Linked DNA regions of Lonchura striata. The protein of the gene in region 2 binds, or shares a complex with, the protein of the main gene of each other region. Links are inferred from orthologs where the notes say so. Each region holds a gene or a part of one and is shown on either strand. Other genes may lie near its edges. The genes, in order: MLST8 and MAPKAP1.

What was found.
Region 1: the proteins of MAPKAP1 (region 2) and MLST8 are in contact, whole or in part, in a cryo-EM structure (PDB 7PE8), measured with the Homo sapiens proteins. The link is inferred for Lonchura striata from reciprocal best matches to the Homo sapiens genes MAPKAP1 and MLST8. Residues at the interface, in NP_001006618.1 of Homo sapiens: Lys102, Cys103, Lys104, Asn105, Ile106, Gln107, Trp108, Lys109, Arg111, Asn112, Ser113, Lys121, Leu123, Phe124, Glu125, Lys126, Lys127, Ser128, Leu129, Gly137, Lys138, Gln139, Ser140, Ile141, Leu142, Val144, Arg145, Leu146; in NP_001186102.1 of Homo sapiens: Ala29, His30, Pro77, Ile78, Ile79, Ser80, Tyr81, Asp82, Gly83, Arg98, Arg110, Ile111, Trp112, Gln120, Cys121, Gln122, Arg123, Ile124, Asn139, Gln140, Ala141, Leu157, Lys158, Ile203, Glu206, Ser279, Gly280, Asp281, Gln283, Asp322.

The regions. Positions count from the first base shown.
Region 1 is NC_134618.1:17,027,829-17,042,810, reverse strand, and holds MLST8 (target of rapamycin complex subunit LST8), read right to left. Parts: upstream 6,449-14,982; 5' UTR 6,303-6,448; coding exon 6,174-6,302; intron 6,099-6,173; coding exon 6,047-6,098; intron 5,833-6,046; coding exon 5,670-5,832; intron 5,525-5,669; coding exon 5,449-5,524; intron 3,358-5,448; coding exon 3,205-3,357; intron 3,114-3,204; coding exon 2,989-3,113; intron 2,548-2,988; coding exon 2,384-2,547; intron 1,952-2,383; coding exon 1,833-1,951; 3' UTR 1,471-1,832; downstream 1-1,470. Other genes in the region: BRICD5 (BRICHOS domain-containing protein 5), read left to right, coding at 269-422, 951-1,045; hexosaminidase D, read left to right, coding at 10,334-10,428, 10,571-10,802, 10,922-11,031, 11,351-11,438, 11,518-11,682, 11,775-11,958, 12,148-12,219, 12,327-12,531 and 5 more.
Region 2 is NC_134624.1:10,801,327-10,816,924, forward strand, and holds the start of MAPKAP1 (target of rapamycin complex 2 subunit MAPKAP1), read right to left. Parts: upstream 6,133-15,598; 5' UTR 6,051-6,132; intron 5,896-6,050; exon of another isoform or gene 5,831-5,895; intron 1-5,830. UniProt on the Homo sapiens protein: Component of the mechanistic target of rapamycin complex 2 (mTORC2), which transduces signals from growth factors to pathways involved in proliferation, cytoskeletal organization, lipogenesis and anabolic output.

The DNA.
Region 1 (14,982 bases), on a different chromosome or scaffold from region 2:
ACTCCCAGAGAAGTGCAGGGACACAGGCTCCCAAAAGGGATGCAGGGAGAGGAAAGCACCTGCCCAGCCCTGAGGCTCCTAAATGGAAGTAAAAGTGGGTAGTGCTGGGGCTGCCAGCACCCACAGACAGAAAATGAGAGCTGGGGCAGGGCAGCTGGCAGGAGAAACCTGCTGGGCTGCAGAGCACGCCTGGGGTGCCCTGGGAGCCAGAGCAGGGCTCTGGGGCCTGAGGGACAAAGTGAGGAACCAGCAGCGCCATTTCTTTCAGGCTGAGCAGCTGCTGCACCCCAACAACCAGACCAAGTTCTACCGGGAGTTCCTGGGCATTGTGGCAGGGGAGCAGCTGGAGCCCAGGGGCCTGGGGGAGGCTGTGCAGACCCTGTGTGAGCACACCTCCATCTTCTGGGTGCGCAGAGGGCACGGTAAGCGGGGCACTGCCCTTGGCAGGGGAAGCAGCAGCTTTTCTAGCACCTCTAAGAGGATCAGGCTCCGCTGCACAGCAGCTGATGCAGCCCAGGACAGGCTGCCAAGGCCCAGGACAGGGACGGGTGACCTCTAGTACAAAATCAGGCCATTGTTCACCACCCCTGAGTGCTGGCTTGTACCCACCCCCTGTCCTGAGCCGTGGCACGGGGATGGGCTCTGAGCTGCCCAGCAGCACAGCACAGCCAGCACACAGAGCTGTCCCCTGAGACACCGCTGGTTAATCCCTGTCATCTTCACCCTCAGCCAAAGCAGCCTGCTGAGCTGTCAGCCTGCTCCATCTGACTCCAGCTTGAGTAAGAAAGGTCATGCCTGAGGCTTTCCCCTTGCTCAGCTCCCCAGGGACTCTAGCTGCAGGACCAAAGCATCCTCAGGGACTCTGCAGCTGCAGGAGCAAAGTATCCCCGGGGACTCTGCAGCTGCAGGACCAAAGCATTGCTCTCACTGCTGTCCTTGCTCCTTGGCAGGCCCGGGGAAGCAGCGCCTCATCTACCTGTGCATTGACATCTGCTTCCCCAGCAACATCTGTGTCTCCATCTGCTTCTATTACCTGCCCGAGTAAGTGCTGCAGCCACGGCCGCCCTCTCTGCCCTCACACTTGAACTGGATTCCTGAAAAGCCTCTGACTTCCACAAGGAAGGGAACACCTGCAACATCCCCAGAGCTTCCTGCTGATTCCGTGCTGCGGGTCAGGAGAGTTTAGAGAAACAGGATCAGGAGAGTTTAGAGAAACAGGAGGCCTCTGCTCAGCACTGCCAGCACAGACACTGCAGCTCTGCTCCAGGGCTGTGCCTCGTCCATAGGAATTAGGAGACCCAGGCCCAGAGGAATCCCGGGAAGCAGCTGGAGTTTTGGGGCTCCAGGCTCTGTTCAACACAAGGTGGTTGTTGTTACATCTGGGGGGTGGTTGGCTTTAGGAGAGCAGCTCTCCAAGTCACTCTGTGAAACACTTTGAATAAAGGGATTGCAAACCAAGACAAGAGCTGCTTCTCCTCTTTGCTCAGCCTTTCCCATCACTGGCAAAGGCTGACTTTTATTTTTTCCCAACTCTGGGGTACAGGGACATCCAGAGCTGTCAGTAGCCAATGCCCCAGGGATTCCTGCAGCTGAACTGTACCTATGTCCCTGCAGTGGGACCGTGCCTCCCTGTCCCACTCCCTCCCACACACGTTTCAGCAATGTGCTGCCTGGAGCTGAAGCCTGGTCTCACCTCAGGCAGTGCAGCTGCCCCTGTCAGAGCCCCAGCCCTCTCCGTGCAGGAGGGGATGGGTACATAGCATGTCCCAGGCTCTGGAGAGGGTCTGGCAAGGGGAAACAAGCAGAGGTCCTGTCCTTGCCACAGGTGGCTGTTATCCCAAGACGCTGTCGTTGAAGGCCAGGCACACCACGGCTTTCTGGTGGCCACTGTATTCCCTCTTGATCTCTCCTGTCTCCACACACCACAGTCTGGCCAGGTTATCAGAGGAGGCTGGAACACAGAGTGAAAAGAAGAGTTGGATATATGTTACCTTTTAAGCTTTTTTTTTACTATTATTCTAAGAAATATTTTTGCTCTTGCTTCATGCAGGCATCCTTAGGGCTGGTGATGACCAGCAAGGCAGAGCAGCTCAGTGCATTTCTCTGGGGTTTCATTCTTTTGGAGAGCAGTGAGTGTGGAAATGACCACAGGTGTGGTCAAGGGACTAACAGGCTGGGAGCTGGGAGCTGAAGAGCACAGCTGGAGCTCTCCTCTGCAGTTCCAACAGCTGCCCCACTGCAGCAGCACAAAATGCTCCAGCCAGCAGAACTGGCTGCTCCCACCTCACAGCCCTGTGCCCCAGGCTCTGGCCATGTCCCAGCCAGGGTAAGTGGGCAGGCCTGGCTGCTGCAGAGCCCTGGCACAGCCCAGGTGGTGCCTCACCTGTGACGATGTACTGGGAGTCCCCGGAGAAGGCACAGTCCCACATCCAGCCCCGGGATGTCTCCCCAGGGTTGTTGCTCTTAATGCTCAGCTCTGTCATCAGAGAGAAGTTTGAAGTCCTCCAGATCTTGCACGTCTGATCTGCAGAACAGGTGGCCAAGAGCCTGCAAGAAGGAGACATCTGAGGGCAACCTCATCAGTCACTGTCCCCCTGTGGGCCTCTGGTTGCCACAGAGCTGGGCCAGGGCCAGTGCCAGCCTGGAGTACTGCTCCCATTGCAATCAGATCTCCTTACAGTCTGATTTAGCAGATTCCAGCTGAACAGACTGTGGGAAGGAGCTCACACTGCAGCAGCTGCAGAACAGCTCATGGCTGCAAACTTTGCTGAGCTCAGGGAGCATGAGTGGGACACCCCTGACAGCAACCCCCTGGTGCCACATCCCCTGCCCCCTGTCCTGGTCCTCCCTGGGGACCTACAGTGTGGAGCCAGCTGGAGGCACAGCTGGAGGCACAGCTGGAGGCACAGCTGGAGGCACAGCTGGCCCCTGCCTGCCCCAAAAGGCCCATGTTTGCCCTGGGAGGGAGGTGAGGGGCTGCACACTCACGTGGAGTCGGGGCTGAACTTGCACTGCAGGGCGTAGCGGGTGTGCGCCGGGATCTTGGTCTTGGGGATCAGCTGCGTCACCTCCTCGCCGATGCCGCCCGTCAGGTTCCACACGTAGCAGTTCCCCTGCAGAGACACAGCGGGAGCTGTGCCCGGGCTGCTGGATGCCCACCCAAACCCAGCCCGGCTGCCCGGGCCAGCCCATCGGGGAGCTCACCGAGCTGTTCACGGCCGCCATGTAACTGGCATCGGGGTCGATGTGCACCGAGTTCACCGACACCTCGGGCTCGGGGATGAGCTGCTCGTTGTGGTCAGTCTTCAGGTCCCAGATGTGGATGGCCCCGCTCTGGTCGCCCACGATCAGCTCTGCCTGCAGGGCACACGGCCGTGTCTCTGTGGGCACCGTGAGCAGCAGCCTGGAGCTGGCACCCACGTCGTGCCCTATGGATATTCTCAGTTGCATCAGAGAGAAAATGAGAGATTTCTACCAGGCTAAGCCTGGGAAAAAGTCCAAGAGAAATTTAAATTATCTATTATCTCTCTTTCTGTTCATATTGATTGTAGATATGTTCTACCACCATGTGCTATTCATAGTACACCAATAGTGTAAAATGACCAATGAAAGACCAATTAAGACCAATGAAATTAATTGTCACAAAGTTCTCTATAAAAGAGAAACGTACTTGTTAATAAAGTTCATTCTTTACCTTCTAAGCTTAAGAGTCTCATCATTCCCAGCCCTGCCTCAGCAGTGACAGTGCCCCTGCAGCACCACTGCAGCACGGTCCTGTCCTGCCTCCTCCCTCCCCAGCTCAGGGCTGTTTCACACCCTGCCTATCCCAGCCGGGTACTGACTCCCGTGACACTCTACAAAAAGGCTGTTTCCCTCCCCAGAAGGGCTTGCTGATTTTCTAAACCCCAGAGCAAACAGAGCTGTCCTGGTTCCAGGGCTGTGGCACACCCACAGCAGCCAAGTGGTTTTCAGCACGTCTGAGAGGCAGCAGTAAGGGGCAGCTTGGCCACTGAACAACTGAAGCACTCAAGGGTGCAGATACCAGAAAAACACAACCGAAGTGGGTTTTTCCTCTCTCTCCCCCCTTCTCAGGGGAAGGACAAGAGCCAAGGGCAGGAGTCCTGGCTCTGATCCCGTGCTCAGGGCAGAAGACAATGCTGGCATGTCTCCACTCAGAGCAGGCCTTTATCGACAGCCCTGCGCTGTCCATAATTTTAGCAGAATCCCTAGAGGAGATCAGGTCATCAGGCACAGCTAATCCTGTCTCTGGGAGCAGAGGCTGCTTCCAAGGAGACAGACACCACTCAATGCATTTATCTGACTGCACAAAAGTCTCTTCTGAGCTCCTCAGCCCCCTCTCAGCAGGTGTAAATGATGAGTCCAAAGTTTTCATGGCTTTACTCAGACCGTGAGGAATCTCTGGATAATTGGATCAGCATCTCTGCAGAGGGAACTGCAGAGCCACGGAACTGCCCGAACAAATGCTGCCACCTTTGGTCTAATTATCCATCTTCTGCTCACAAACCAGCACTCTGCACCTCAGCAGCACCGTGCTCAGGGATTATTTCACATCAAAGACCTATGTTCAGCAACATTCATTTAACACAACACACTCTCACAGCACTGACACTACAAGACAGCGGATTGTCTACATGATTTGGGTAGTCTGCTCCAAATAACCCATCTCAAATTTCGCCTGAAATTCCTGATTTGCAAAATTAAACCTTTGCCAAATGAAACGCAGGGGAACATTTCCATGACTCAGGACTTTAGAGAGGTTTGGATGGTCGGCAGGAAAAACCACAGTCCTGCAAGCCCAGCCCAGCCATTAGCACTGACTGACCCCTATTGATTTCCCTGCTCGTGCTCTCTTCAGCCTCTTCAAGTGCCCCCGCTCTCCCTCTGCTCAGCAACAGCTGCTGAACCCACTGGGGAACTTCAACCAAACCCCACCTGAAGGGAATCACAGCCAAAGGCCCCAGGATGCTTTTCCCTGGCAGTGTTGTCACCCTCAAGCTCCCCAGCTGCCCTCACTCTTCCAGCTTTGCTCCCATCACATCCCCAGGGCCCACTGCAAGGGCGTTTCCTCCCGTGGGATGAGCTCAGTGCAGCCCCTGTGCTGTCCCTTTGCAACAGCCACCAGGTCAGCAGCACAAACACATCGTGTGAAGCCCCCAGCCCATGCTGTGCTGTACCCCATCTTCTGCTGGGATACATCTCTGCAGCCCCTCAGGTTTACCCAGAGGTGACACAGGAACAGGGTGCCCAGAGCAGCTGGGGCTGCCCCTGCATCCCTGACAGTGCCCAAAGCCAGGCTGGAGGGGCCTTGGAGCAGCCTGGGATGGTGCAAGGTGTCCCTGCCATGGCAGGGGTGGGATGGGATGAGCTTTAAGCGCTGTTCCTCAGGATTCTCTGAGCTGGGAACCCCAGAGGAGGCAGCTTCCTCACCTGGTTGGGGTGCAGGCAGACGCAGTTGATGGGAGCGTTCACCTGGAAAATGCGCTGGCACTGGAGGTTCCGGGACCTGTGACAGAATGAAGGAGGGGTGCTCAGGGGTTGTGGGACCTGGGACAGAATAAGGAAGGGGTGCTCAGGGGTTGTGGGATGTGTGACAGGGGTGCTCAGGGCTCCCGGGGGGGCTGCCGGGCCGGGGAAGCCCCGGTGCCCACCGGAGGTCCCAGATGCGGGCCATGCAGTCCTCCCCGCCCGTGTACATCCAGCGGCCGTCCTCGTGGAACCCCACCGAGGTGATGTTCTTGCTCACGCCGTCGTAGTTGATGACGGGGTTGGGGTTGTTGGAGTTGAGGTCGTACATGCGGATGTGCTGGTACCCTGCGAGCACCGGACAGAGGCTCAGCACCACGGCTCAGCACTGGGCAGCGGCTCAGCACCGGGCAGTGCCTGAGCACCGGGCACAGGCTCAGCACCACGGCTCAGCACCGGGCAGAGGCTCAGCTCCAGGCTGGGGCAGAGCACCGGGCAGCAGCCCGGCACCGGACAGTGGCTCAGCACCGCGGCCGAGCACCGGCGCGGCAGGAGCGCGCACCTGCGGCCGCGATCATGCTCCGGTCCGGCGTGATCTCCAGCGCGTTCACCTGCTGCGGTCCCGTTAAGGTCGGTACGGAGCATCAGCCGGGCCCGCCCCCGAGCGCCGGGCACGGAAGGAAGGATACGGAGTCCTGGTGCTGCACCGTGCGGGTGCAGATGCCGCTGTGCGCCTGCCAGAACCGCACCGTGTGGTCGTAGCCGGCCGTGGCCAGGATGACCGGGTCGCTGCCCACCGTGCCCTGCGCCGCGTTCATGGTGCCGCCGCTCCCGCCGCGCTCGGGGGGCTCCCTAAAGCCTGCGGGGCCGCCCTCACGCCGCGGGGTGTCGGCGCGGCCCGCGGGTCTCCCTCAGCCCCGCTCCCGGTCCGCTCCCGGTCCGCTCCCGGTCCGCTCCCGGTGCCCTCACGGCTCCCGCTTCTGCGCGTGCGCGCGGCGCCTCCCGAGTGCGCAGCGTCCGGCGGGAGCGCGCATGCGCGGGAGCGGCGACAGGGACGGACCATGGCCCGGGCGCGGGGGGAGCGGCGGGCGAGACCACGGAGCGCGGCGGGGGGAGAGAGCAGCAGCGCCGCCAGGGGGCGCAGTGCTGGAAACGGGACGTGGGATTTGGGATTTGGGATTTGGGATTTGGGATTTGGGATTTGGGATTTGGGGTATGGGATGTGGGGTGTGGGATGTGGGGTATGGGATTTGGGGTGTTGGATATGGGGTGTGGGATTTGGGATGTGAGATTTGGGATTTGGGATATGGGGTATGGGATGTGGGGTATGGGATGTGGGGTATGGGTGTTGGGGTATGGGTGTTGGGGTGTTGGATATGGGGTGTGGGATTTGGGATTTGGGATTTGGGATATGGGATATGGGATGTGGGGTATGGGGTATGGGATATGGGATGCCAGGCATGGAACAAGCGACATGGGATGTGGGGCATGAGATAGGGGACATGGGACACAGGACACACACTGGGCACAGGGCACACACTGCTGGATCCGCTCGATTCATGTCACATACTTGTGACATGAAACATGGGACACACACTGGGAACACACCAAGCACGGGACACAGGACACGGGGCACGGGACATGGGACATGGGACACGGGACACACACCGGGCTGCAGGCACAGAGCACACACCGGGCGTTGCTGGGCGGGGGTGGGCACTGGGCACGCACCGGGCCCTAACGGGAACGGGGAACCAACACCGGGCACGCACCGAGCACCGCGGAGCCACCCCGGGGCCGCCCCTCGTGCCGGTGCCTCCCGGTCAGGGCGGACAGCGGCTCCGCGCTCTGCCGGTGCTCCCGCCGCGCTCGTGTGGCACCGGGGCGCTGGGCACGGTGCCCGCTGAGCCCGGTGCGTCCCTCCTCACTCGCCGCACCGGCGGGCACCGGGCCCTTTAAGAGCGGCGGCGGCGGCGGCGGCGGCCGTGCCCGTGCCCGTGCCCGTGCCCGCTCCCGGCGGTGCCCGCGGCCGCCCCGCACCTGCCGGTAAGGGCCGGGGCAGCGGGGGATGCTCGGGGCCGGGAGATGGCGGCGCCGTGCTGGGGACCGGTACCGGGAGGATGCGGGAATGCTCGGGGGGACGCAGGGCCCCGGTGCCGCAGGGAAGCCCGGGGAGGATGCAGGGATGCTCGGGAGGATGCAGGGATGCTCGGGAAGGATGCAGGGATGCACGGGAAGGATGCAGGGATGCTCGGGAGGATGCAGGGATGCTCGGGAGGATGCAGGGATGCCCGCGGAGGACGCCGGTGTGCCCGGGGTCTCAGGGGTGCCGTGGAGAGCGGGAGTGCCCAAGGTGTCCTTGGTGTGGGAAGCTGTGGGGTGTGCCGGGTTTGTGGGGTGTGGGGGGTGCCCCGCAGCACAGAGGGATGGGTGGGCTGTGGGAAGGGTCCCTTGTGCCCAGAGGCTGCTCCATGGGAGGGACAGGGATGGGACAGGGAGCAGCTGTGCCCAGGGATGAGGGAGCAGCCCCCTCCTGCTGCGCCGGGGTTGCACCCCACAGAGACCTGCAGCCTCCCCACGCAGCAGTCCCCGGCTGTGGGGCTGCATCCCTGTCACCCCTGGCGAGGGGCAGCTCGTCCCGGGGGGTGGCACAGCCTGGCAGCACGGGCTGGGCACGGCCAGGCCGGCCATGGAATGCTCTGGAAGCGGGTGAGCGTGTGCACGTGTGTGTGAGCGTGCACGGCTGCCCCACGGCCGGGGGTGCCGGGGGTGCCGGGGCACGGGGGTTCGCCGTGGAAACACCGGGGAGCACCGGAGCGGGGCTGCGGGCAGCGGGGGGGCACCGAAACCCTCGCTGCCTGCCCACGGAACGCAGTGGCACCCCCGGGACCCTCGGCTCCCTCCCCAGCACGGCCACTGCCACCTCCGGGCTCAGGTTTGGGTTTGTTTGCGTCCACCCTCCCCTCCTGGGGGCTCGGGCAGGTGAGCGGGGCTGGATGCCGGGGGCTGGCAGCAAAGCCCACCCTGGGGGCAGGGAGGGGGCCGGGGCTGCGGCTGCTCTCGCCCCTCCGGGAGCCAGCCTGGCCGCCCGTGCCAGCCGCGGGCTCCCCGAGCTCCCGGGCCCGGGGCAGCAGCGGACGCGAGGTCACAAATACAGCCGGTGCTGGCGGCCAGCTGCCGGTTCGAGGGGCGGCATCCAGGGCCGAGCCCTCGCTGCCCCGGGGTGTCCCCGTGGCGCAGGGACAGCGCCCCGGCTGCCCCGGCACCCCTCGGGACTCCCCCGCTCCGTCCCTCGCCCTGGCAGTGCCAGGGAGCTCCTGCCCTGAGAACCTGCCCTATTTAAATAAGATAACGTGCATTAAAAACACCCAATCCTGGCGAGCTGACAGCGTCTGTCTAAATATTTATCCCTGTTCCGATCAGGCGCTGTGTTCCCATGACAGCGCCATTAGCACTTGGCATATTTATGGCCTTTCTGGGTGCTGGGCTCCCCATGCTGCGTGCCTAGGGGCCACTGCCCCCCGTCCTGTGTGCCCTCGGTGCCTTTCCGTGCCCGCAGTGGTGACCCCTGGGCTGGCAGAGATCTCCAGCCCGGCACATCCCTGCTGGAGCTGCCAGGAATATCCCGAGCTGGGCACGGCAGGGAGCGGGAACCAGATTTGTCCCCCGCAGCGCAGGAGCTGCAGTGCCACGAGGGAAGGAGTGCAGTGCTCCCCAAAATCCGGCTCCTGCTCCTCCTCCTGCCCACGGGCACCGAGACACTGGGTACCCGCGGGCACCGGGCCGTGGGGATGGAGCGGGGATGCTCCAGCCACTGCTCGTCGCTGTCCTGCCCTGTGCCCTGGCTGGGGCCTCGTGCTCTGGGCACAGCAGCTCCTGCTGCCGGGGGGCTCCGGGGGGCTCAGCCCCCGTGTCGGGAGGGACCGGGGCTGTGTCTGGGCCAGGGCTCGCTCGGGGCGCGGGGCGGCTCAGCGCGGCTCTCCCCGGTGCCGCCGCGCTCTGGTAACGCAAACAAAACCCTCGCGATCAGCTGAGCCGCTTGGGCACCCGCAGCTGCCAAAATCTGCTTTTCACTTCCCCAGTCTGCCGGAGGAGCTGAGTTTAACCCCGAGCTCGGGTGTGTTTGGCTGGCAACTCACCGGGAGCGCTGGCGGCAGCGGCGGCGCCGGTTCCGCGGGGCCGGGGGGGCTGCGCTGCCCTGGCCGGGCCTCCCCGAACACTCCAGAACCGGAGAAACAGGAGAAGGAAGGGGCAGAAGTGCCTGAATGTGGCTCCCAGGAGGATCCGTGCTGCCTCTCGCGCGGGCCCTGCGGGTGCCACCCTCACCGTGCCAGTGCCGCGGCCGTGCCGGTGCCATCCCGGTGCAGCCCGGTGCTGGCATGTGCCCGGGTGGCTCCCAATCACCTCTTCCCTACCCGCAGGGATGCACCGTGCCCAGCCCGTGATGCCGGCCCACCCAGCCGCCCTGTGACACGGCCCTGGCCCGGGGGTGACCGGCAGCCGGCCGGGATCCCGGGTGGGGACCTGCCCTGCAGCCACCGCCCTGTTTGCCCCGGCCCCGGCCTCACCCGTGCGGGCAGAGGGAGAGGCGGAGCCGGCCTCTGGCCCCGCGCTGGGGCACACGAGGTAGGAGGGACACTCGGGGCACTGCCACACGTCCCCGCTGGGCAGCAGGCTGGCCAGAGGGGCTGCCCCCATGTCGCCCTTCTCTGGGTCTCGTGCTGCCGCGGGCAGGGCAGCAGGGCTCGGTACGTGGGGCTGGGTGGGCTCACCTGTGCTGGGGGTCCCTCCGTGGCCACTGCTGGCCACGGAGTACCAGCCCCTGCGTGTGTCCCCAGAGGTCCCAGTGATGGCCTTCCAGCGGAGCCACCGGCTGAACCTGCTGCGCCTCGTCGTGCTGCTCCTCGTTGCCTTGGCTGGCATCAAGTTCCTCTTCCGTGACAGGTGAGGTGACAGCAGGACCCCGGGGGGGGAGCCCGGGGTTTGTGGCACCCCCTGGGCTGTGTCTGTGTGGTGCCTGGTGCTGGGGGCAGCTGGTGCCCCCATAACCCCACGGACACCCCCACCCCTGCTCCACTCCCTGCAGCTTTACCCTGGAGCTGCACAAGCACGTCAGCAAGGACAGCGGGTTCTGGGGGGACACAGGTGACGTCGTCCAGGACATCATCCCCCAGAGCCAGGTTCTGGAGCTCCCTGCAGCAAAGATAATGACCCTGAAGCAAAAGCAGCAGGTCTCCAGGGATGTCAGTGCCACTGAAATGAGGCTGGTCCACCTGGATCTCAAGGGAGCTGCGCCCAGAGTCTCCTACCTGGAACAGGTGAGGATGCCCAGGACAGGGAGGGGGGACCAAGGCGGGGATGCACTGACGGGGCTCGGCCCTGCTGGCACCTGGACTGTGCCATCCCCACTGCTGAGCCCACCCTGCCCACCCTGCAGGTGTTCCCCCTCCTGTCCCAGCTGGGAGCCAACGGCGTCCTCATGGAGTACGAGGACATGTTCCCCTTCAAGGGGGAGCTGGAAATCCTCAGGTCCCCGTACGCTTACAGGTGAGCAGGGCTGTGTGCCGAGCTGGCCGTGGGGCTTGCGGCCCCCTCGGGTCCCGCTGTGCCAGGGGCTGGGTGTGACCCACCCGGCGCCGTGCCCACGGTACCCGCGGTCAGAGTGCCAGGCTGTGCTGCTGGGCACACCAGCAGCTCTTCCTGCCCTGACAGGTCAATGTTTGTGCCCTTCAGTAAAGTGCACACATATGTGGGGCAACTGGGGCCATGTGGGTAGGGTGCCAGAGGAGGGGGAGGAAGGGGAACTGCCCCCACACTGTGCCCTCTGCCCTGGCATCCCCCGCTGAGCCTGTCCCTGCCCTCCCAGCGAGGAGGACATCGAGCGGATCCAGCAGCTGGCGGAGCAACACAAGCTGGAGGTGGTTCCCCTGGTGCAGACCTTTGGCCATGTGGAGGTAGAGGGTCCCAGTCCCGCTCCCCATCCCAGATCCCAGGGGTTCCCCTGGACACCCCCCTGAGGGCTCCTCCCCACAGTTCATCCTCAAGCACGAGAAGTACCAGCACCTGCGGGAGGTCGAGCGCTTCCCCAACAGCTTCAACCCCCACCTCCCTGACACCCTGGCCCTGCTCAAGAGCATCCTGTCCCAGGTGATCGAGAAGCACCGGCGCTCCACCTGGATCCACATCGGTGCAGACGAGGTGGGCAGGGGCTCTGCGGGGACCCCAGCGCTCACCCCAGGCTCTGGGGGTGCTCCCAGGGCTGCTGAGCATCTCCCTTCCCCCAAATCCAGGTTTTCCATCTCGGGGAGGGGATGGACTCCAAGAACTGGATGAGCCACAACAAGGGCGACGTGGGGACCATGTACCTGAAGCACATCAAGGAGGTTCTGGGCTTCCTCACGGCGCAGTACTGGGGGCTGCGGGTGCTCATGTGGGACGACATGCTGAGGAAGATCAGCGTGGGAGCCCTGCGGGGTGAGGGGACAGGGGCATCACTGGTGGCACCTGTGCCAGGCTCCTCAGCCTCACCCGCTCTGTGCCCACCCTGGCTGGCATCGTGCCCGGTGCCAGCAGGAGCCCACGCCTTGCCCTGGGGGAAGCGTGAGGAGCCCGAGGCTCCCTCCTGCTGCCGGCACCAACGTCCCCTCGCTGCCGTCCCCGCAGAGGCCGGGATAGCGAGACACGTCTCACCCGTGGTGTGGTTCTACGCGCCCGACTTCGAGGCTGAGCAGATCGGTAAGGTGACGTGCCGGGCTCCCGGGGGTGCTGGGGGGATCCCACCCGAGCCCCCCGCAGCCTCCTGGGGACAGTGGCACTGGTGGCTCGCGCCCATCCCGCTGCAGAGCAGTTCCTCGCCAAGTACGTGGAGAGCGGCTTCGAGGCCGTTTGGTTCGCCAGCGCCTTCAAGGGCACCACGGGGCCGGCGCAGGCCTGGACCCCGCTGAGCTACCACCTGAAAAACCACCTGAGCTGGCTGAAGGTGATGCAGGCCGTGCCACGGCTGGCCCCGCTGCGCTTGCAGGGCGTGGTGCTCACCGGCTGGCAGAGGTGAGGGGTGGTGGGACCCCCCCGTGCCCTCCCGGTGCCCGCAGAGCCGCGCTGGCACGGTGGTGGCACGGTGGTGGCTGTCCCTGTTCCTCAGGTACGATCACTACTCGGTGCTCTGCGAGCTGCTGCCCGTCAGCATCCCCTCGCTGGCCATCTGCCTGCAGACCCTGGTGAACGGTGAGCCCCCCGCCCCCCGGCACGGCCGGGCTCACCCCCAGCTCCCCCTGCCTGCCCAACCCACCCTGCTGGGCAGGGCGCTGGGGGAGCTGGGAGGTGGAGGAGGAAGAGATTCAGCTCGCTCAGCCTCGGCGGTGTGTGAAGCTGGGGAGAGCCCCATGGTGACGTCTCCCTGGCTCTTCTGTCCCTTTCCTCGCCCTCCCAGGGGGCTTCACAGAAGAGGCAAAAAGGAAGGTCCTGGATGTGCTGGGCTTGGAGAGCGTGCAGCTGGAGCAGAGCACCTGGTGCGTGCACGTGTCAGAAGGGATGCACTGGAGGGAAGCAGAGGCTTGGTCACACAAATGCCCTGGTCCCAGACCTGCCAGGGTGCTGGGATTCATCCAGCTCAGTGCACCCCACGTGCCGAGCCCTCACCTTCTCCTCCCTTTCCCCAGCGAAGGCAGGGGAGCGTTCCCCGGTGTGGAGATCTACCACATGGTGGAGCAGGTTAATGGGCACCTGAAGGAGAGCATCCTCAAGGCACTGGAGGAGGAGAGGTAACAGCGGGGGCAGCAGCGGCACTGGTGCCTCTGGCCCTGAATTTCCATGGGAGGGAACCTGCCTGATGTGCAGCTCCCCCTCCCCGGTGGCCCCCGTGCCCCCAAGTCCCCCGTGCCTCTCCAGTGCCATCAAGGGCTGGTTCAGCCCCTACCACCGGAAGCGCCAGTTTGGGAACCCTCGCAACATGGAGAGCTTTGGCAGCAAGGTGCTGAAGTACGTGCTGCTGGGGGCTGGGAGGGTCTGCCCGGGGCTGCGAGGGGTCCCTCGCAGGAGGGAGCTGCAGCCCTGCTCTCCCCCCTCCAGGCTCCATGAGGACTGGGAGGGCTTTGTCCGGGACCTGCGTGCCCAGCTGGAGAGGATCTACTTCCCTGACACGGTGGAGGAGTGGATGGAGGAGAACGTCGACCCCTACCTGGACCAGCTGCGGGACCTGGTGCGGGACTACCGGGCCATCATCCGCCTCAAGGGCCGGCCCAAGGCCACGTAGGGGCTGCAGCCCCCCCACTCCCGCTGCCCCCCGGTTTTGGGGGCCACCATCGTGTGTCTGTTTGCTGGTGACGGCGCTGCTGCCGTCTGCACTGTACAGAGCCCCGGCATCCCCTGCACAATAAAGTATTTTTGTAGATGCTGCTGCTTGCTGGGGGGCCACAGCTCTGCTCCCCTGTGCAGGGAGAGGGAGCTCGGCTGGTGTGGAGGGCTGGGCTCTATCCTGTGACAGCTCCTGGGCCCCTGCTCAGGCTCTGATGGAGCCCGAGGGGTTGGGAGCCACAGGGCAGAGTGTGACAGAGCTCGTGTGCCTCGTGCTGGCCTGGAGGGTGGCCGTGCCCTCCCTGCACGTGTGGCTGCATGTCCCAGGCAGGGGCTGGCACCTGGCACGGAGCAGGGACAGTGCAGGGGCCCTGCCAGCGCTGTGTCTGCTTCCAGTCCTGACTGCTGGGAGGGCTGTGAGCACAGCGGTGGCTTCTTCAGCCTCCAAACTCTGCCTCCATCTCTTCCTCCTTCTCTGTTATTCCAGCACCCGGGCCCTGCTGTGCTCCCAGACCCCCCCTGCCTCTCCAGCCCGGGCAGAGGCCCTGCTGTGCTGCTTTCCCATCGGAAAGGCAGCTGTGCTGGGGGGATGCAGGGATCTCTGCGTGGGATGAGCCCTCCTGCTGCTGCTGCTCTCTCCAGCTCCCACAGTCAGGTTTCCACGTGCCTGTTGCCCACGGTGCCCATCCTAAACCCCCTGTGCCCCAGGCTCTGCCCGTTGCGGGCGCTGGTTTCTCTCGGCGTGTGCAGGGCAGGAACGGGGACATTTCACTGCACATTCTTCTGCTCTGCAAAGACCAACCCGACTTGGCAAGAGCCCGAGGGAGCCGCAGGAACGCCAGGCTGGAGCTCCTCCCGCAAAGCCCGGCTCCGGCGGGGAGGAGGGCCGGGGTCGGTGCACCCCAGCGGCCCCACGCCGTGGCCCCGCTGCCCCGTGGCGTGCCCCGGTCACAGAGGTCCCGGTGCCCGGCGGGGCCGTGGGGCAGGAGCTGCCCCCGCGCTGGGTGTCTGGGTGTGGGGGCCCGGCAGGAGGGAGCCGTGGGGCACAAAGGGAGCTTTGTTGAGGCGCTCCGGTTGTTATCAGGTGGTGGCAGATGTGAAGGAAGCCCCCGAGCCGTGCGGAGCCCCAGCCCCCAGCCCCGGAGCCCGGCCGCGGCTCAGGCCCCGTGCGGCGCCCGGCTGCGGGATTAGAGGGCAGATTAGACG
Region 2 (15,598 bases):
TCGCTGGGTGTACTGCAATTATTTAAATAAAGCCTGGCTGGCGTTGCTGGTTCCCCACCAAACGCCCCACGCAGAGTATCATACCTGCACGTTCACCTGCATGAGGTGACAACGAGATATCAAAGCAAGTGTGAGACTGGGGAAAGGACAAGCTACACCTCCTGGCTGCCATCCCCCCATCCATCCTGCTCCCACGGCTGCCAGCGCAGGCAGCAGCAGGCACAGCTGGAGCCAGGCTCCGTGCTGGACCCACTGACTGGGGCACTGCAGCCACGTGCCAGCCCTGCTCAGCCCTGTGCAGGGGAAACGTTTGACCTTGAGCCTGAAAAATGCTGAGTGCAGCTCTCCTCACGCTGGGGAAAATGCAGCTGGTTTGGCATGCATTTCCTGGGTTTTTTTAAATGAACACTGTGGAATTAGGACTGAGGACACAGTGCCTTGCTCCCACTGCCCAGCAGAAGGAGGCTCGTCCCTGTCACTGCCCCACACCAGCACAGAGCCAGGGCAGCCGTGTCTCACCTCCATGGCTGGAGGCCCCCCTTTGCCACCCACTGCCCCCAGCCCTGTGCCCTCCTGCAGGTCCTGTCACATTTTCCAGCAGAACTATGTATTTCTCTTGGTGAGGTGACACCTGAGCCAACAGACACTTCCACGCCCTGTACCTGTCCCCAAAAGGTCGCAGGCTCCAGGTCAGAATCTGCAGCTCCACCAAAAGCCCTGTGGTGCCACCAGCACATATCTGACATGTCATTTCAGGACGTGGCCCTAACATGACAAGCCAGGGCCACCTTTCTATGGCATCTTACAGGAAATATTTTCTTTAAGTGAAGGGTTGATATTTTTGCTTTTCATGCTTTCAAATACACAGACCTCTAAATAAGCTACAAGAAACAATAAAATCAGAGAAAGCTGTCAGCAGCTAAAAATGTTCTGCTGCGGGAAAGAGCTACAACTTTGAAGTTCCACCAATTTTAATGGAATGATTTTAAGAATTCTCTATTTCAAATAGCTAAAAGGAGTTCCAAATTCTCCACAAAACTCTCAAGCCAATTCCTGCCATGTATCTTCCTCTCTAAATTAAAAAAGTAAGCTTCTTTCCTTATGTTCTGCAAAGCTGTAGCTTGTTTTCGTTTTTTTGTTCGTTTGTTTTAATATTGTTTAGATTGACAATGCTCCTTAAGGAAGTAACAAACATTTAAAGCCCTATTCAAAATAAAAAAAAGTATTCCAAAGACACAACTTGTGGAAGGTACAATTTGGATTGAAGACAATGCTAACAAACTCGAAACATGGCAATCTGGAAAAATTATATACCAATGCAGGTCATGTTATCATTCAGGGCCTTCCATAGTCCCTGTACTCAAACACCTCCTTGACTGTAGCTCTTCAAAGTGATCTTTAAAAACTAATGAAAAAAGATAGGCAGATTAGAATTAAAAATTGATTTTCCCCCCTGTGTCATATAAGCAGGACAGCATGAACATACTTCAAAATTTATGATTCAGGTTATATGAAATAATTTCCCAGTCAACTTCTCTATGCAATTGCACAAGAAATGGTTCTGGTTATCTGCATTTGCAGCAGCAAAAATAATCAACCCCCTCAAACACAGACAGGTCCTGGGCAGGCAGGATAAAGGAAAGTGAACTGAAATATATGAACATTCAAGTTTCTGTTTCAGCAAAAGCTCAAGTGCATTTAAGAGTGAATACTTATCTGCAGAAGCTGTCACTCACACTCTAGTCCTATCATTAAAAAGGAAATAATCATTTACAGTCATATAAAGAGGCTCTCTCACAAGAGAGACTGGAATTGGGACGTTATGATGAGCAAATACTATATTACACACAACTTCCAACAAATTATTTGTTCATTTACAGACCTGTAAATCAATCTGGCATTAGCTCTGTATTTTTGAACTGCTTGGAATTTGGCTATACTTTTGTTGTCACACTAATCAGGATGCAAATGACACCAATTCCAATATTTTAATTACTGAGCTTTAGAGGTGGGAAAAACACTGGGGTATGTATGGGAAGTATTCACTCTTCTCTTTCCTGATCATGTCAAATCTTTGTTTAATTGCAGACAAGTTGACTCTCTGCTAACCTGAGAAATCTTGCATCAAGATTTTAAGCAAATAAATAAGTATAAAAAATGCAGAGATCATAAATTAGGGCAGACAAATCTGTATCTAGACTCATGCCTGCAAAGAGCATTCTATCAATATAGCGAAATGCTAATCTCCTAATTAACAACCTAATTAGGTAATTATGGCTTTGCAGAGGGATGCCTAAATGAAATATGACAACATGGTCACCTCTTTATATGGCACCTGTGGGCCTTTTCAGCTGTCACAGCCGAGAGTGCAATATCAATTTGAACAGATGACAAAGTGTTGTCATTTTTCATTCAGATATTGTGCTGAACGCTGGGATCCAGGCGCTCCCAGCGCCGCGTCCTGCCCGGCTCTGCCTCATCTGAGAACGTGCAAACGCTCGCTTCATTTTTACTGTCTCTGATTGAGCTTGCTTTCCCATGCTGTCTGCAGGCATTCCTGACACACAGCACAGCTGCAGTGTCACACTGGGGTGACCCACACCCCCAGAACCCCTGACCCAATTTCACAGCACGTGTGTGGGAGAATTGCTAGCCAGAAAAAATATCTGAGTGTCTGAGTTCCTGTTTGAGGCTTAATTGCTGCTGCCTTTAAAACAACAAAACAAAACCAGAGGGCCTTGTAAGTAACACGTAACATTAATTTCACTTTTATTTCTGCTGAACACTCTTTTCCAGGGGAACAGCAATCCCTGTCCAGGAGAAGGTGAAGCTGATGGGCTTTTGCACAGAAAGCTGGGAAGGAACACTTGCAACAAAGGTGCTTTTCCATGGAACGCTTTCTGCCACTCATATGCCTAAATTGCTTTAAAGACAGTTTGCTGAGCTTGACCATTCCTAAAGGCCATCAACCCGCTAGAGCGGGTCTGGAGGAGGACACAAAAATGATTAGAGGGATGGAGCACCTCTGCTATGAGGAAGGGCTGAGAGAACAGGGCTTGTTCAGCCTGGAGAAGGCCCAGGAGTGACCTAAATGCAGCCTCCCAGCAGCTGAAGGGAGTCTACAGGAAAGATGGAGACACACTGTGTACAAGGGATGGAGGGACAGGACCCAGGGAATGGCTCCCACTGCCAGAGGGCAGGGCTGGATGGGATATTGGGAACTGGGAATTGTTCCCTGGGATGGTGGGCAGCCCTGGCACAGGGTGCCCAGAGCAGCTGGGGCTGCCCCTGGATCCCTGGCAGTGCCCAAGGACAGGCTGGACATTGGGGCTGGGAGCACCTGGGACAGTGGAAGGTGTCCCTGCCAGGGCAGGGTGGCACTGGGTGGGCTTTGAACTCACTTCCAACTCAAACCACTCTTGGGTTCTGTGATAAACAAAATATCTTGTTGTAGAGTGGAGAATGAAAGCACAGGCTAGGAGTGCTTGAATATCAGACTAGAGCTTCTATTTTCACAATTCTCAGTGTGATATTCAGGGACCTAAAAAACTTAATAAATTTCATAAACATCAATACAAGCTTCAATCTTAAAAAAATAAAAAATGCCGAACCAGAAAGCTTCACCATTTTACCTTTTTGCCTGTTTGCTATTGAGAGAGATGCTACTCTCTTTGGGTTTTACACCCAAAAGGCCCCCAGGCTCATAGAATCTGCCTTGTCTGGAGCCAGGACAGAGCCTGGGGACACGAGGCAGGCCCAGCCAGCCCAGGGGCTCGCAGCACAGCCACTGCACTGCTCTGCAGCAGCACCAGGGAGGCTGCTCTGACACTGCCAGGCAGGGGGCTGTGCCTTAAACAGCAGCACCTGTCAAAACAAACACTTGGGTCTCTGTCAGACAGTTTCTTTAGGTTGTTGCCATTCTACTTTTGAGTGTACATAAATATTTTTATTGCATTAAAAACATGATCATATCTTATTTTTTAAATATAGCAGCATGCAAGCTGCTTCTGACTTAAGAAATACTCATGATCAGACCTCCTTAAAAATGCCTGAGACCTTCAGTCCCTTTGGGACTTTATGTCAAATGAAACTGAATAGATTCACATTTCTTCAGCAAAAGATGAATCCCCCGTTTCTCTGGCTTTTAAATTTGGGTCTGTCTCTTTCAAGAGCACACAAAACATATTCAAGGAGCTTTGTTTTGCTCTCAGGATAATGGATTTAGATACAACACTTCTCAGGCAATAAGCAAACAAGGTAGGGATTGCCCTTTTGCAGTCTGGGATATAAAACTGAGCTGACAGACAGTGAACAACAAGGCATCACAGTCTGATGGAGCTCCTCAGCTCACACACACACAGAGTTAATATTAAACACAACTTGGAGTTCGTGTCAGAGGCACTAACAAACGCCCTGGAGAGCTGCTGCCACCCCTGAGGCAGCCCCTCCCTGCGGGGAGTCCCAGCAGTGGGACCAGCACTGACAGCCCCGGGCTCTGCTCCTCAGCTCCAGACTGCCCCTTCCAGCACCTGAATGGGAGCAAATGTGGACACCTGAGCTCCACCCCCACTTCTCAGCCAGTGCCATTTGCCCTTGGACATCAGAAGGAATTTCTTCACCCCACGGGCTGTCAGGGTTGGAAGGGGCTCCCTGGGACGTGGTGGAATCAGCAGCCCTGAGCAGTTCAAGGAGAGACTGGACGTGTCAGTGCTCCGGCCTGGCTGACAAGGGGTGTGAGTCAGAGGCTGGGCTCGATGATCTCACAGGTTTCTTCCAGCCTCAGTGACTGTGTGATCTCCAAAAAGACTGACCACGTGGGAGATGGGCTGCTCCTACCTGGGGATGTGGCCAGCACGCTGCCCATGTGCTGTGCCATTGGTTGCCATAACTGACCTTTCCATACAGGTGTGTGCTTTTCACGCTCACAACTTCGAATGGCCGGGAAAATTTCGTGCTACAGAACGCATAACACAGATCCCTGTGCCAGGCTGCTCCACCTGCAGAGGCCTTCTCCGATCCAAAGGAAACGCACAACAAGAATGTAGCTGTTACTTGTTATTTTAACATCTGTTATTTGTTATTCTAAATTTGTTACATGTTGCAATGGGTGAAAATGTAACCAACAGATGAGGAAAGGGTGTTACAACAAAGATGTGAAACATTACTGATACAGAAATTGGCTAAACTGGTTCTCCCTGCTTCAGTTATTTCTGTACAAGTCTATATGTACGTACATGCTGATCCCAATTTATTTTTAATCTAACCCAAAAAAGTGTCCGTGAATGGAGCTGTTCTGAATTTGGAAAAGTAACTGAGAGAGTCTAATTCCCAGTCTTGCATGTACCTGATAATTCCCTGACACCTAAAATCGGCTAAACACACACAGGATATCCAAGCTTGGCTCTGGCATCTCTGGTTAGTCAATTACCAGACTTCCACTAGCACAGAAACGGACTCGTTGCTGCATCCCCCGGACACCTTCCCGCTCCCGTGTGGTGTTCACAGTTCCCATGGCACCGGCAAGCGGGAGCAGCACCGGGAGCCCGGTGCGGAACGGCACTCGGGTGCGATGCTGCTCAGAGCGCACCTGGAGCACTGGGCAGGCAGAGCCCTCGCCGCGGCCGGCAGGAGCAGCCGGGACACGGGACTGGGATGGAGCGACGGTACCGGCCGGAGCCCCCAGGGCACGGGACTGGGATGGAGAGACGGTACCGGCCGGAGTCCCCAGGGCAGCCGGGTGCCTCCCGCTGCCGCGGAGTGCGGGCACGCCCAGGGCATCCCGGGGGGCCCGCCGGACCGTGCCGGTGCCCGCCGCTCCCGCCGCACTCACCTGTGCCCCGCCGCCCATCGCGGCCGGACCCGCTCCGTCTGCCCCGCCGCCGGGAGAGCCGCGGGAGCGGCCCCGCCCGCGCGCCCCGGGAGCCCCGGTGCCCGAGCCGCGTCCCGGGCGGGCTGGCAGCCGCTGCCGCCGGTCACGGCATCCCGCGGGGCCCGGCGAGGGACTGGCAGCGCGGGCAGCCGCGGCACCACCGCCCCCGCCCCGCACTTACCGGCGCCGCCGCCGCGGGGCCGCGCAGCCGCTTCCGGGTCCGGGTCCGGCGGAACGGGCGCCCGCGGGACCCGGAAGCGCCGCGGCCGCGGAAATGACGGCGCGGAACGGGCGGGGCGGTGGCACCGGCGGTACCGGCGGCGCGGGCCGCACGCGGGCACGGCAGCGGGCCGCGGGCTCGGCGGGCGCAGCCGCCCTGCCCGGGATGCCCCGCGCCGGTACCGGGACACCGCGGCCGAGCGGCGCTCCCCGGTGCCGCACGGCAGCACACAGGACGCTTTTCTCACGGGGGTCGCACTGGCTTTATTGCCAGTGTGTTGCTAAAAGCACGGTGACGTTTGTGTTTATTTGGTGATTTGAGGCCAAGCACGCAAGTACAGACACGAAGGGGATGAACCCCACACGGGTCAGTGTGCCCGGACCGGCACCGAGCGCCGCCCGGGCCGTCAGCAGTGTCCCCGGTTACCCGCTGCTCCGGGGCTGAGCAGGGCGCACAGCCGAGCTGCCGGTGCTCCCAGCTGTTCCCAGGGAGCCTGTTCCTGGCCTGCTGGCTCTGTGTCCCTGTCACCTCTCCAGACCTGCTGGTGCAGCCTCCGCAGTTTCCTGTGCAAGCAAGGAGACTTGTTCATCCCTGAGGAAAGCCTAACGTGGCAGCCTCAGCAGCTGCACAAACGCAAACCAGCTGCCTTTGAGAGGGACAGTGCACAGCATGGCACAAGTGCCACCAAGGCCCGGGAGGAGCAGGTACCAGTGACTGGCAACAGCACAGTAAGGGCAGGAGCTGGAGCTGCCCCAGCACAGGGCATGTCACAGGAGTGCCTGGCTGCAGCTGGCAGAGCCCAGAGCTCTGGGGTGACTGGACTCAGCCTCCTGAAACAGTACCAAAATCACCCAGAAGAGCAGCTTTCCGCTGATGCAGTGAGACTGAGCAGGTCCCTGCAGGGGCCAGGGAGCCCTGTCCCGTTTGGCAGGGTCAGGGGCTAGGGGATCTGCCCATTCCATCCGTGGCACTTCACCCTCAGGGGGCAAGTGCATCTGTGAAATATTCACAAAAATACCGATTTAAAATGCCTTTGGGGTAGTGTTCTTAGTAAAATTGGATGACCCTGAAAACTCGTTGGCTCAAGACAGACAATGATGGAGTAGTTAAGATGTAAAGTAATTGAAATGTGAATGAATTTACTAATTGTATGGGGGGACGGTGAGCGCACAGATTTGTTGACCAGGAGCCACCTCCATCTGCACCAGCCATCCGAGGCCCCAGCCAGGTAAAGGGCTCCGGTGACATCCAGGCCCAAGTGAAGGTGAGGGATGGCGCTGCCAGCTGGGACTGGGGCGAGCTGGCAGCTCTGCTCTGATGCCAGCCTGAGGCATCAGCCAGACCACCAGGAAGGTCAGGGGATGAGGGCTGGGTGCGGGCATGGCTCCACTGAGACTGTCTGCCACAGACAGAGCACAAAAAGCAAACTAAGGATGGTTTTAACCGTGGCTCTACCCGAAGTGTGACAAAATGGCCCAACCTGAGGGAAGCAGGAGCGAACGGGGCAGTGTCCCACGTGAGGACAGTCTGAGGAGGTGGCAACGATCTACATGTAACATCCTAAGGGAATGAAGTCGTAATTACCCTTGCTGCCTGTGCCTTTTCCTCCTCCCGCTTCCGCGGTTCTGTGCACATTTACAAAAAGATAATTTGCAATTGCACGCGGTAACGCAGGCCCTGAGCCGAGGGCTGTGCCGAGGGCTCCTGTCCTGTCCCGCAGCTCTCCGCGGGGACACGCTCAGGGCACGGGCCGCGACAGACCGGCCCGGGACCCTTCATCCTGCGCAGGGCTCCATCGCACGGCCGCCGCTGCCGGTGCCGGGCAGGCCCGGCCGGGCCCGGGCGCTCGGGAGGCCCCGGGGCTCCGTCGGGCAGGCCCGGCCGGGCCCGGGCGCTCGGGAGGCCCCGGGCCCGGCCCGGCGGGACCGGCCCGCCGTCACCACGGCAACGGGGGCGGGGCCCGGGCCGCTCGCCCCGCCCACGCCGCCGTTCGAACGGCCCAATCACAAGTTCCTCATCCCGGGGCGGGGCCCGAGCTGGGGCGGGCGGGCGCGGCACCACCGTGCGGGCGCTGATTGGCCAAGGCCGCAGCCAGCCCCCGCGGCCTCGCGCGGCGATTGGCCGCCGTGCCCGTCGCTCTGGCGCTCGGCCGGCCCCTCCCGCCCGCCCCGGAGCGCGGGCGCCGCCGGGCCCGGCGGGAGGGCCGCGCGCGCGGAGCGGGGCGGGCGGGCCGGCGGGGCGGGCCGGGGCGGGCCGGCGGGGCGGGGCCGGCGGGCGGGGCGGGGCCGGCGCTCCGCTCCCTCTCGCGCGCCGCTCGGCTCCTTCACAGGGTGACACGTCTGCGGTGAGTGAGTGGCGTTGGCAGCCTGTCAATCCCTCACCGGAGCGGCCATCAAACAACATAAAACACGCGCGGGCACCGGGCGCGGGGCTCATAAATTCCGGCGGGCCGATATTTTTGCACATTGCTTTGCAGAGAGTGTGTAATTAATTTTTTTACAGTTCTTTCCCCGTTATTTCCGCTCTTTTCTTTGCACAAGTTCAAACTTTTGATTGCTGCTGTCTCACCCCCGTGCACAGACTTGGGATCGTTTGTTATTTGGGGGGGAGGGCGATTAATTTTTTTTTTTTCCCTCTGTGATTGTGTTTTCTTGGCTTTTTTTATGTTGCAATTTGGGGGTGGGGGTGTTCGCTGGTTTGTTGTGGTTTTTGCTGTTTGCACCCTCCCAACTTCTGAAGGATTTGAAAGCGAGTTTTTTTGATTTTGTACTTAATTTTTTTTTTTTAATTTTGCCTTTTTGCAAAGAAGATTTTTGGACAAGTGGGGAAAGACATAAAAAGCAACAATAAAAATAAAAAAGGAAAAAAAAAAGCTTTGGAGGAAGATTGTACCAGGAAAATCTCACAGAAATCTGCTCAGCTCATTTATCCGAGGCACCAATATGATGATGATGAAAGAAGATTGTAACTAAAGAAGAGAGTGATTTACTGCCCTGGGAAGGAGAAGAGAGTGGAATAAACAGCTGAGATCCGGTCAAAACACAAATACTACATTTTTTTTGTTACTGTTTTGTTTGGCTTTTTTTTCCTGTTTCCCTTTTTTCGTGGTGTGTGTGCAGAGCGCGGTCAGGAGCGCGGCACTGGGACTGAGCGGGGCAGGCGCTGCCGTGACCGCCCGGAGCGCGGCCCGGCCCGGAGCCATGGACGATCAGTCCAGGATGCTGCAGACTCTGGCCGGCGTGAACCTGGCCGGGCACTCGGTGCAGGGGGGCATGGCCCTGCCGCCTCCCCACGGACACGAAGGGGCTGACGGCGACGGCAGGAAGCAGGACATCGGCGACATCCTCCATCAGATCATGACCATCACTGACCAAAGCCTGGATGAGGCACAAGCAAAGTTGGTTTCGTCTAATTAAACCTTGTCTTTTAAAAAAATTATTATTAATATTATTATTTTTTTAATTATTTTTGGTGTGTGTGTGTGGTTTTTGTTTCTCTCCTTCCTGTTCCTCTGCAGAGACCCGGAGTCTCACAATTAAGAGCAACTTCTTGGGGCCGTAAGAGAAATTGCCAGCAGCCAAGGCAGAGCCAAGTTGCTATTTAATGATTTCTTTCCTTAAAAAAAAAAAGCTATGATAAATGTAGAAGTATGCGATGGCTCTGCCGTCGGTGTGGTGCGCGGGAGGCTGTGGCTGGTCCCTGCCCGTTCCCGCTGGACGCTGCCCGGTGGATACCGGCCTTTGCGCCGCCGTCCATCCGTCTGTCCGTCCGGCCATCCCTCAAAGTACAACTTTGCCTCTTTCTTTCTTTTCTTGTCTCAAAGCGGCAGCAGATGAATTATAAATCTGACCAGATACTGCTGCAGGAGAGGGTGTGTGTGTGTGAATAAAGCCCGAACCAAACCCCGGCTCTATTCAATCACAATAAATACAAAAACAATGTTAACTCTGTACACCTCCCCCCCCCTCTCCCCAATCTCCTTAATAAATCAGGTCTAATATCGCAGGACGGGGACGAGGGGGGTGGTTTTTCCCCCTCGTTCGGGCGGTGTTTGCACAAAGATAATTCGCACGAAGCGAAGCGGGCTGAGGGAGGTTCCGGCCGGCCCTCGCCGCCCGCGGCCCCGGGACCCCCGGCCGGGGGGCGAGCGGCCCGGGGAAGGCGCCATGTTGCCGGAGCCCGGCGCTAACCGCTTGTCCTGTGCTCTCTTGCAGGAAACACGCCCTGAACTGCCACAGGATGAAACCCGCCCTGTTCAGCGTCCTCTGCGAGATCAAGGAGAAAACAGGTACGGGCCGCCGCGCCGCCGCCGCAGCCATCTTAGCGCCGCCGCCGCGCCGGGCCCGGGCCGCTCTCGCCGCCGGGGCGGGGGCCGGGGGCGCCCGGCGGCCCGGGGGGCGGCGGCAGCGCCGCGAAATGGCGCGGGGGGCCCGCTGCCGGCCCCGCCGAGCCGTCCGGCGGCGTGTGAAGGACAGCCCGCGGCGCTGTGCCCGCGGGTTTAACCCCGGCACCGCACCGGGAGCTCCGCGAGGGGCGGCAGCGCCGAGCCGAGCCCCCGCGGCCCCGCCGAGGGCGCCCCGACCCCGCTCCCGAGCCCGGCGCTGCGCCGGCGCCTCCCGGCGCAGGGCTTTTAAACGCCAAAATTCTCAAAAATCTCCAAAGTCCGGTATTTTTTTTTTTTTTTCGTCTACATTAACGCGACAGAAATAAACTCCGTGCTTTTCTTGTGGGTGATCTAGGAGATTTTTTTTGCAATTTTTTCACATCACTGAATTTATAGAATTTTTTGTTTGTTTAAAGAAGAAAATTTACAAAGTATTCTGCTTTGTATTACGAGAACAAGAACATTTAATGAAAATAATAATAATGAGAATAATAAAATTTAACAATAGTAACATTTAACAATAACAAAAACATTTATTATGACTGGATTTAAAAATGAATAGCCAATTATTCACATACAGCTTAAGCCATTGCCTGGCTTTTTAGTTCTATGTGATACTCAGTAACGTTCTGCTTAATTCCACACTGAAAAAATAAAACTGGATGAAAACAACCCAACGTGAAATCATTGCAAATCTGAGCTGTGGAGCCTGGAGTGAGCGGTTCTCTGTGAATTATGGTGCTTTATGTCCAAGGGTTTCTTTGCTACCGGGGATCCACTTCAGTTCCTGCTGACAGCTAAGCACTAGGGTATTGACTGTGTTGTGAATATTAAGATTGATTCTGCTTTATGTTGCATTATATTACCCGGGATAAGGGGAATGATCCCTCTCCCTTCCCACCTATATACGTTCCTCCTCGGTCGGCTCGTAACCCCTTTCCTTGGCTTGTGTGTTTGTTTCCTGCCTTTCCCTAAACTTCTTTGCCCGTCCTGCTCCGGAGCCAGAGAGCAACCTGCCCTCGGTGTTCAGACATTTGCAGGAGCACATTTCAATTAAGGAGGCAGGCGTAGGTCCCGCGGTCACTTTATTTGCAGAGGGCTTAGCCTCAGTGTTTTGAAAGGCAAGCGTAGTCAGGCACATGTCAGAGGTGAGCTGCGAAGAAAGCCCCAGTCCTTTCAGCAGTGGGATTACTGGCACAGGGTGTTTGTGAGGCCGCCGCCGTCTCGCAGGCGAGGGGGAACCTGACGACAGACTCTGTGGTCTGAAACCTTTTGGGGTGTTTCAGTGATAACTTGTACGTTGGGATGCTGCATTTGTGCTGCAAGAAGTCGAGCAAGTTTTCAAGTTATCCCTCTTTTGTGAGATCGCTGAGAACCAACAAAGAGTGAAGGCGTCTGCCTGCCCAAAGGCGAGCTCCTGCCAGCCCTGGCATCACGGGAGGGACGCGATTAATGCTCTGAGTGATTGATGGAGATGGATCCACACCTCCACCAAAAACTCTTCCCAGAAGGGGACCTTCACTCAGGGTCTCCCAGTTGAAGTGAAATGTCTGTGCAGGCTTTACTTAGTGTGCTAAAGCAAAGAAAACGTGAAAATAAATTGTAGCCTGTTTTCTGGAAGCTGTTCTCGGAGGGAACAGCTCAGTTCTAAACTGGAAGCTTGAGGAAAGGTCTGAGATGCAGTTAAGGCAGAGGTGTCCCCCTCTCTGCCTAGGGCTCTGCATTGTCTTGTGGTCTGACAACTGTCAGGTGCTTAAACCTATCTCCGATGGGGTCGTGTGCTGGCGTTTAATTCTTCCTGATCAGAACCAAAGTTTTCCTGGGTGTGGGAATTGCCATGGTGGTTTCATCACTGTCTTCCTCCATGGAAGGATGTCATGTCTGTTCAGAAACAAGTCATGCGGTATTTAAGTAATTTTTATATTGAATTATGTATTTATTTGCATTTTAGTAGTTTTCAGTACAGTCAGCAAGGACTTTGTGAGACTGGCTGGGAGAGAGCATGAGAAGGAATCCTCAGTTTGCATGGAGCCACTCTGTCACTTCCCAGCAAGGGTTAATGGATACATCTCATTTCTGAAAGCCTCACACAGGGTCAGGAGCTGAAGATTTTTATTTTTTCTCCCTGTGAGGTATTTACCATGTACAAAGCAAATCACTGAGTTACTGAATTTAGCCTGACATTTCTTTTTTAACATTTTAACATTTTCAAAAGTGCTGCATAATACATTTAAGTGCTTTACAACTATTAATAGCTGTGTGTATTCTGAGAGGCAACCACAAGGTAGCATGGTGTTCATAAAGAAACTGCCACCTCTGGCTTTAATTAGTTCAAAGAAAAATTATAGCAGAGTTCTACCGAAGCCCCTCCAATAAAATAGGAAGATAAGCAAGTGAGGAGGCAGTGGCTCCCTTTGGCTGTGCTTTGCCTGCTCTCCGAGGTGTCACTGGACGCACACTCACATCTGTTGCATACCTGTGTCACACTCTGTTTCCTCACATCCTACCAGAAGGAATCAAAAACTGATTTGCACCATTGTTTGTTTTTTTTTTTTTTTTAAATAGCTCTTTTTTACTGACTGAAACACCTTCAGACTGGTGATTTTATTAAGCTTCCTCCAGGATGTTGCTCAACCTGGGGTCCTGGTTATTCTTATGGAGAAAGAAGTGAAAATATATTAATTCTTGCAGTCTTAAAATGTCTTAGGGAATTGCATTTATTTCCCAATGGAGAAACATATTATTAGGTCCTGGACTGTGCTGATAGATAATTTGTTTTTTTGTCTTTAAAAGTCATTTACAGAGACAGGATCACAGGTTTATAAAAATGTCTGAATTCATGTGCATAACTGTGCACACATCTATAGTTATTTATTTATTTATTTATTTATTTCCCCAAGTCCAGCAGCAACAATGATAGCTGCCAACCAACCCCGAATTTACTGTCACCACCACCCCTAAATAGCATTCATTTCCTAGTAAAGCCTAATGGCATACATGATGGTTTGCCAGATTTGTGGCCTTTGTGAGGCTTATAAGCAGGACTGACTTGGGAAGATCATAAAACTTAATGAACTTCTCGACTGCAGGAGGTGTCCGCAGGGGAAGCGAAAGGCCTGCTCGGCTGCTCGGGCTGCTGCAACTATTTTTTATGTCTAAAGAGAGAGGATGAAAATGTTCATTAAGAACGTTCTCCCCTTGCATAGATTTTTGTTTTAAAGAATGAATAAAAAATCTCTGAAAAGCAGACAGACCGCGTGTTGGCCGCGGGGTTAACTCCTGGCTGTTGCCGTGTGAGTTACCTTTATTTTTATCGCCGCAGCTGTAAATAGCCGTGCGCTGCCGTCCCTGTGATGACAGGGCTGCAGCGGGCCCTGCCTGGCTGCACAGCTCCTTATTGATGAGCTGGCCGCTGCTCAGGACCGCCCCTTGTCGATGTGCTGCAGCCTGGAACCGCGGCCAGGGCACTGCTGGGCAGCGCTGCCCCTGCCCGGCCCTGGCAGAGCTGAGGTGTTAGCCCCTGCCGGCGCCGTGGGGCTGGGAAAGCCACCCTGCCCTGCCCTGCACGAATTCCAACTCCCCTGCGCTTGTAAACTCGCGTTTAGCGCCAACAACTCTCAGAAACACGCTATAACCCTCCATCCTGCCGGAGCACCAGAGGATTCTGATGGAACAATGACATGGCACTGATAGCATACGTGTATGTGCCTGTGTGTGAGAGTGTGCGTGTGTATTTTGGCTATTTTCTAAATATCAGCTGTGATGTTATTGTTACTTACTTTAGCTCTTTAAAATATTTATGTGCAGTCCTGATTTTTTTTTTTTTTTGAAGCTGCTAAATACATATTTTGTTGTTCCCTGACTACCTGAAGAAGTCAGAGCTGGGCGTTTATGTGCATCCAGCTCAGCTTAAATTGTTTGGCTTTTGCTTCCATCTCATGCTTCAGTACCAAGGTTTGTCATCGACCCAGTGATTGTACTTTTGAATGTATTTTTTTAATTGCCAGCAGATGTATTACAAATGATGCCGTGCAGCAGAACGTTTGGTCGTTTGCACTGTCCTTATGGCAATGACATTGCTTTTCTTCATAAATGTCCTACTAGGAAAAAATAAATTGAATAAAGTGTCTTGATTATCGTTTGGTCATCTGTTTCCAACACATTCATTATCAGCAGCCTGGTTCTTTGGTGGATTTCTATACCAGGGCACTTCTCTAGTTGAGAAAATGGCGATTTGGTGATTATGGGCATTAGAGAAATTAATGGTATTTTATCTCACAGAACCTGAGACTGCACCTTACCTTCAGTGCTTCCCATTGCTGGTGCTCCTTGCTGCATTTAAATATCCATCTTCACCTTGAGTAGTGGGATTAGTGGTTTCAGAGATTTTTTTTTTCCCCTCTGTGGAGGATAAATTTGGCCCTACTTGTCAATACTAATTTAGCCAGGAGCGGGGATTTATTTTATTTATTTTATTTTATAGCTGTCTTTCATGTGTTTCCATTTATTTTTGAATTTGACACATTTCTTGCTTATCTAAAATACGAAATTCTAGCAGTTACCGTGTGGTGTATTTTAGGACAATTGTTGTAAGTTAAGGAATTTTTGCATTCGGAGATAAATTATCATGGCATGTAGGGAATGCAAAACAGTTGTGTTTTTTTTTTTTTTTTTTACAGGATTTAACACATTTATCAAACTCTGTTCCTGCAGCTTTCAATGGAAAAGTTGTACGATATGGATATTATGCTGTCTTTTTTCAATTTAAACATTGATTTGTGTGAAACATTAATATAATGATATTTGCAGTCTACCGTAGACAAATATAAGCAGAATTAGACACTCTAAATTGTTACAAATGCAGTGCAATATTTAGAGGTGAATGGAGGCTGTATTCGTAATGACGGAGCGGAGCGCGTGGCGGTCCGGTCGGGCTGTGCCCGCGGGTTTCGGGCTGTTCGTCAGCTCCTTGCCCGCCGTGCCCGCGGTGCCTCGGTGGTGTTTTCCTGCGGAGGGATGCACGTCGGCTCCTTGCTCGGTGGTGTTTTCCTGCGGAGGGATGCATGTCGGCTCCTTGCTCGGTGGTGTTTTCCTGCGCCGAGGGATGGATGTCAGGTCCTTGCTC